2 linked regions of the Macaca fascicularis genome follow. The protein of the gene in region 2 interacts with the protein of the main gene of each other region in a pairwise test. Links are inferred from orthologs where the notes say so. Each region holds a gene or a part of one and is shown on either strand. Other genes may lie near its edges.

The links. The genes of interacting proteins can lie anywhere in the genome.
Region 1: the proteins of TNPO2 (region 2) and CAMK2D interact in binary tests that used the Homo sapiens proteins (3 or more experiments, as listed by UniProt). The two-hybrid records come from large-scale screens. The link is inferred for Macaca fascicularis from reciprocal best matches to the Homo sapiens genes TNPO2 and CAMK2D.

Annotation. Positions count from the first base shown.
Region 1 is NC_088379.1:119,046,651-119,050,212, reverse strand, and holds part of CAMK2D (calcium/calmodulin-dependent protein kinase type II subunit delta), read left to right. Parts: intron 1-201; coding exon 202-296; intron 297-2,664; coding exon 2,665-2,787; intron 2,788-3,562. UniProt on the Homo sapiens protein: Calcium/calmodulin-dependent protein kinase involved in the regulation of Ca(2+) homeostatis and excitation-contraction coupling (ECC) in heart by targeting ion channels, transporters and accessory proteins involved in Ca(2+) influx into the myocyte, Ca(2+) release from the sarcoplasmic reticulum (SR), SR Ca(2+) uptake and Na(+) and K(+) channel transport.
Region 2 is NC_088393.1:13,102,735-13,106,296, forward strand, and holds part of TNPO2 (transportin-2), read right to left. Parts: intron 1,630-3,562; coding exon 1,523-1,629; intron 1,430-1,522; coding exon 1,296-1,429; intron 1,217-1,295; coding exon 1,135-1,216; intron 1,062-1,134; coding exon 939-1,061; intron 832-938; coding exon 713-831; intron 1-712. UniProt on the Homo sapiens protein: Probably functions in nuclear protein import as nuclear transport receptor. Serves as receptor for nuclear localization signals (NLS) in cargo substrates.

The DNA of each region.
Region 1 (3,562 bases), on a different chromosome or scaffold from region 2:
AGAGTTCTGGAGCATAGGAGGAGAAGCATTAACCTTCCAGAGACTGCTCTAGAATAGACCATAACACGTCTCTCTGAAGTTTTCCTACAATCCAGTTTTCTCTGTTTTAACAACTACAGCTTAATATCATTGTGGATCAGCCACATTTAATTTATTGTTTTCTATATGACTTAAATAATGTTAATACTGTAATCTCTCCAGGTGTCATTCTCTATATTCTACTTGTGGGGTATCCACCCTTCTGGGATGAAGACCAACACAGACTCTATCAGCAGATCAAGGCTGGAGCTTATGATGTATGTAATAACTATTTATATCACTTTAGATGAAGGTTTGTTTTTTGCTTGCTGATCAAGAGCCAGATCTTTTCATTTTTCTTTTAACTATAATTTTTACCACTTTCTCTTATTATTTCCCTCTCTCTTAAGGAAAGGGAAAAAGAAATGCAGCATATGTGTTCAGCTTATGTTTCCTTTTAACTCACTCTCTCCTAAGATAAAAAGAAAAGTCATGTGAAGTCTCTGAGGAAGAACTTTGTCAAAATGTTTGGATCTTAGTGCATTTTAAAAACATAAAAATTAAAATATTTCTGCTATAAAAATGATTATTGCCCATTCAGTTGAATTATATTCTCAAATACCTATCACATAATTTTACATTATATACCAACAATATTTTGCAGTGATCACATATCAAATAGAACATTATTCCACTATACCAGTTTCTGGGTTTTGTTTTTTGTTTTTGTATTGTTTACCTAATGGGATGCTATGCAAGCTTTCATTTGAAGAATGAGTTTCACAATTGAAAAATTTGAAAATCATAATTCTAATATATTTAATTTTTAATTAGAATATTTGAAAGTAGATATATATATACATATTCATAAATTAAGTTCAGAATCTGAAGAGGAAGTCTTTATCTACTTTCTCTTTATGGCTTAACTTTGTGTTTATGATATAATTTGCTCTCCTTTGATATGTATTCTTGTAAATACGATTTACCACTTTCTCTGGTTTCCTCTCATACAGCCCTAGGGAAATCCATGTGCAGGATCTGGGCATGCTTTCCATGTGTCATTAAGTGGAGTAACTATGGAGTAGCAATATTGGGTTCACCTTTTGTGCACAAGTTGAAAGCTTTATGTGAAAGTGAGAGGAGAAAATATAAAATGTCTGTATTGTATTCTATCATGTCTCATGAACTCTTCAGTGCATTTCTGATAAAATTTTCTATTTAGATGGATGTGTGTTTCAGTTAGCAAGAATTTAAAATGTATATTCTTTGAATTTCGAAGCATTCCATTATCCCTAGACTAGTAATTGAAACAAATTATTATTTACATGGCAACAGCTAGCACATTCACCATCTTTACAGACTAGAACCAGCCCCTTTCTGGGCAGACGTAGCCCTGAAAATGCACTGCTTGGTATACCGGAGGAGTGCTTTCATGAAAATTAGAAAACTGAGGAAAAAGTTCACCTTTCTTCATGCTGAACCTACCCCTCATTTGCTATCAAAAGACCTGTACAACATTTAAGAAACAGCCTTGCATGTTTCTTTAGTAGCTCCTAACAGTTAGCAAGCTTTCACAACTGCCAAACATAAGCTTCAGGAATTAAAAAATGACAATTGTTAAGCTGGCAAGAAATTACAGGTATTAGAGTCAATATCATTTTTCTCGTGCTTTATTTTGCCAGTGAGTCACAAGTTCCCCATTTTAAAACTACCAAAAATAGACTAATTCCATTGACACAGTGACAATGGCTTTATTTTTCAAGATTGTCTACACAAATTCATGAATTGGGAAAATAACTTGATATTCTATCATTTTGCAACTAATGTAGTATAAATTTCCCTTAATCATTGAAGGACAGTATTTCTACTAAACATGCTAATGATATAAAAGTAATTTATTATCAGTACAAAAAAATAACATGAAGAGAGGAGAAGTAGCTTTCTTATATAGTCTTATTGTAAAAAAATATTAATAATGGGAAGTTATAAGATTTGATTACTTTCATATACTTTGGTGAAATTTGTAATTGGGCAGATTAAACTTCTTGAAGGGTTAAAATGAAATCTTGCTGAAGCTCCTATAGCCTCAGATTCTTCTCACTACAGCACTCCAAGTAGCCATGATTAATAGGTCAGTTTTGGCACAGGAATTGAAGCTGTTTTATTACCTCTGCTATTACTGCTTATAAGTTGTGAAAGTATATAATACCTCATTTTGAACCTTGGCATAATATTACGATGGCATTGGTACATGTAGCAACCTCTTTGCTTTTATTAAGTTTTGCAAATAATTATGAGAAAGATTGTATAAAATTTCATGTTCAGATCAAAGCAGAGATACTTTGAGAATAGAAGATTCTTAAGTTCTTTTTTTCTGAATTTTAAAATGTATTTACCATATGTGATATGCAGCTCAGTATATATGTTGGTCCCTTATCAGATACTCTTTAATATATATAGTTGTCTACATAGAGGGGGAGAATAGATCTAAATGATTTTATTTATTTTAGATACAATTTAACTTATATAAAAAGTAAATTTATGAAGAAATTCACTACTTGAGGAAATGATTCATATAGTTGACTCTTCCCTGTTTGATTGAGTGTGTCTATTTTTTAAACTTTTTATAAATTTATATTTTTGAAGTTTCCATCACCGGAATGGGACACGGTAACTCCTGAAGCCAAAGACCTCATCAATAAAATGCTTACTATCAACCCTGCCAAACGTATCACAGCCTCAGAGGCACTGAAGCACCCATGGATCTGTGTAAGTAAAACTTCTCAAAAACTTCAAGAGCTAAAATGAAAAATAAGCTGTCCTTTAATATATTGTTTATGGATTTAAAATAACTTTGCAAAAAAAAGATGAAATTCAGAATGAATGAATTTTTGACTCAAGGTGTTTAAGAAAATGAATTTTATGATGGCGAAGAAATGCAATTTTCAGTAGCAAAGTCTGAATTGCATAGATTATTAAACAAATATTGCTTGCAGTAACAAAAGGAATGAGTATTCTTCGTATCAATTATTGACAATACTCGTGAACAAGGTCAAGAAAATAACACCAAAATTAAATGTATCCCAGAAGAAAAGATTTAACAAAGTTCAATTATTTGTCATTAGGCAACTTTAGAAGCAAGTATGAAGTTTGGCAGCTGAGAGTAGAGTTTTAGTGGCATAAAAGAATGGTCATAGTAGTCTGAATATTTTTTAGAAATATTAAGAAAAATAGTGTGAAATTTGAGGGGAATCTGAAGACTTCAGTAAATTTCTGAATGTGTCAAATGCTAAGATGATAAATGCGGCACTAAGTAAATGAAAGGCAGCCCAATCGAAATGTGATTGAAGACATTAAAATAAAGATAATTTGAGAAATTATTAATATTTATTTCTACACTTTCTGGTATTTTTATTTTGTTTTGTTTTGACACAGAGTCTTGCTCTTGTCACCCAGGCAGGAGTGCAGTGGCACAGTCTTGGCTCACTGCAACCTCCGCCTCCCAGGTTCAAACAGTTCTCCTGCCTCAGCCTCCCGAGTAGCT
Region 2 (3,562 bases):
GTTGGAAGCACTGGTCAAAAATTGCTTTACTCGGAAGTTCCTAAGCTGCAAGGGCACAGAAGGCTACAGCACTACCCAGAGGAAAGGTTGTACCTATGTGCCTAAGAATGAAGACAACACAAGGGAAGCAGATCTGAGACCACATAGATGCCTTTCATATCCTTTGAGCTCCTGGATACAGCCACACCTGAAGCCTTTGTTGATTTTTTTTTTTTTTTTTTTGAGACGGAGTCTTGCTCTATCGCCCAGGCTGGAGTGCAGTGGTGTGACCTTGGCTCACTGCAACCTCAGCCTCCCGGGTTCAAGCGATTCTCCTGCCTCACCCTCCTGAGTGGCTGGGACTACAGGCGTGGGCCACCACACCCAGCTAATTTTTCGTATTTTTAGTAGAAATGGGGTTTCACCATGTTAGCCAGGCTGGTCTCGATCTCCCGACCTCGTGACCGCCATGCCTCAGCCTCCCAAAATGCTGGGATTACATGCGTCGGCCACCGTGCACGGCCATTGATTTTTCGTTTCTTTCCACCTAACAGTTACCTAATTTTGAAGTCTTTAAAAAGTGGCATTCTTGCCACTTACACATAAATATACACTGAATATAAACTGACAAGGATGTGGACTGAGAGAAGCATAGCAGGTGACCAGAAGGGAAGGCAGAGGCATAGAAAGGGGTCGAAGCTGGGGTGGGACAGTAGACAGCAGCAGTACTCACTGGACCAGATGGGAGGCCAGGACTTCCTTGCAGATGGGCTGCTCGGCCAGCGTCAGCCAGAACTCACAGGCCTCAAGGGCAACGTTCTCGTCATGGTCCTGGGTCCTCTGCAGCATGTACTGTGATAGCGGGGAGAAGCTGAGGCCTGGCCTGGGTAGGGGTGGCTCCCTGACCCTTGCCACCGGCCCCTTGCCTGCCTTCCTGGGCTGGCCTCGACCATGCACACCTGGATGATGCTGTGCATGTGGGGGATGAGCCTGTCGATCCGCACTTCCAGAAGCATCACCAGGGCGCGGCACACATTCTTCCGCACCTCGGGGTCATCATCCACGGCCAGGGCAAATAGGTGCTGCAGGGAGGAAAAGGGTCAGCTGTAGGGGCCCTTGGTCCTCACCCTGTCCACCCCCAGCCCAGCGTCCCACCTCAATGAAGGTGTCAATATTGTCCATCAGCGCCTGAGCCCGGTCCATGATGAACTGGTTCACGCAGGCGATGGCGTGGGACCTGGCGGGGAGCAGACACACGGGTCACCCTGAACCTGCCCACTCCAGGCTCCCTGAAGCCCCCAGAGAGCTGCACCCACCGGATCTTGGGACTGCAGTGCTTGAAGAACTGCAGGAACTTGGGGATCATGATGTTGAGGGGCCTGTTGAGCGCGTCACTGTCCAGAAGCTCTGATGAGTCTTCGCAGATCTTCTGCAGGGCTCCAAAGGCTCCCTGAGTGCAGAGGGGCAGAGAGACAAAGGTGGGTGGTGGGTGGTGGTCCCAGCCCCCCATACCCGCTCCGGCCATCTATGGCTTCTCGCCTACCTCACAAGTGTTGTAATCCTCCGAGTTGAGCAGGTTGCAGAGCTGGGGCAGCAGCTCGGGCCACATCTGCAGCTCACCCTTGGAAGCGATGGTGGTGATGAGAATGCCTGGGGCGGCCAGGAAAGGACGCTGCCTGAGGCCGGGCGGGGGCTGCCCAGCACCTCCCCTCCCACTGGGCACCCCCAGTGCTGCCTTTCTGTCCCCTAGCCCATGTATGCCCTCCACATCCCCCCCCTTTTTTTTTTTTTTTTGAGACGGAGTCTCACTCTGTCGCCCAGGTTGGAGTGCAGCGGCCGGATCTCAGCTCACTGCAAGCTCCGCCTCCTGGGTTCATGCCATTCTCCTGCCTCAGCCTCCCGAGTAGCTGGGACTACAGGCGCCCGCCACCTCGCCCAGCTAGTTTTTTGTATTTTTTAGTAGAGACGGGGTTTCACCATGTTAGCCAGGATGGTCTCGATCTCCTGACCTCGTGATCCGCCCGTCTCGGCCTCCCAAAGTGCTGGAATTACAGGCTTGAGCCACCGCGCCCGGCCTGTTTTTTTTTTTTTTTTTTTAAGAGATAGAGTTTGCTCTGCTGCCCAGGCTGGACTGCTGTGGCACAATCATAGTTCCCAGCAGCCTCGAACTCCTGGCCTCAAGCCATCTTCCCGCCTCAGCCTCCTGAGTCGCTGGGACTGCAGGCACATGCCACCATGCCCAACTAATTTTTAACATTTTTTGTAGAGATGGGATCTCACTATGTTGCCCAGGCTGGCCTGAAACTCGTGGCCTCAAGCAATCCTCCTGCCTCGGCCTCCAAAAGCACTGAGATTACAGGCGTGAGCCACCGCTCCTGGCCTTGACATAGGTAGAAGGGTACTCCTTGACTCAGTAAGCACCCTGAACCTTACTGTGAGTCAACTCTGTTCCAGGCCCTAAAGCACAGCACAGAGCAAAACACAAAATCGTCACCCTTGGGAGCTGGAAGTAAGCTACGAAGTAAAGATAAATTAGCAAAAAAACTGGGACGGGCCGTGCATAGCTGGCTCATGCCTGTAATCCCAGCATTTTAGGGGATCTAGGTGGGTGGATCACTTGAGGTCAGGAGTTCGACACCAGCCTGGCCAACATGGCAAAACCCCGTCTCTACTAAAAATACAAAAATTAGCTGGCTGTGGTGGGGGGCACCAGTAATCCCAGCTACTCGGGAGGCTGAGGCAGGAGAACTGCTTGAACTTGGGAGGCGGAGGTTGCAGTGAGCGGAGATCGCGCCACGGCACTCCAGCCCGGGACGGAGCAAGACTCCATTTCAAAAACCAAAAACAAAAACAAACAACTGGGAGGGGCCACATGCCAAGGACTAAAGGGGAGAAATATAGCAGAAAAGATGGTGAGAAAGGGCTGTAGGTGAAGCTAGCAACTTTAAATTGGGTGGCCAGAGCAGGCCTCATTGAGGTGACATCTTGATATCGAGGCAAGACCTGAAGGAGGTGAAGCAGGCAAGGGAGGAATCATCCAGGTCTCTGGGAAAAGGGCATCTCAGGCAGAGGACTCTATGGTGCGAAGGCCTGGCGTAAGGACAGGCATGATGTGCTAACAGATAGGTAAGGAGCCACTGGGGCTGGGCAGAGAGTGGGAGGGGAGAGAGGGAAAGGAGGTAAGGCAGGAAGGTGGCAGGGATGCTTGTACTGCCTATTAGACATCCAGGAGTCACATACAGCAGGCATCTGAGGTGCCAGGACAGTGCACGTATCTGGTGACAGAGCTGGATATGGGTTCTGTTAAGTGCAGAGATGGTTATTTACTGCCACAAGATGGCACTGTTTCCCAAGGGTGGAAACTGTCCATGACAGAAAGGTGCTCCCTGCAGTGGGTAGGTATAGTGAGGACCGTGGAACCTTAGCCACATCTCCTCACTCTCTGCACCTCAGCGCTTCCAGCCCTCAGAAGAGATAAAGAAAACCAGCCTCGGACACGCGCGGTGGCTCACGCCTGTAATCCCAGCACTTTGGGAGGCCGAGACGGGCGGATCACGAGGTCAGGAGATCGAGACCACCCTGG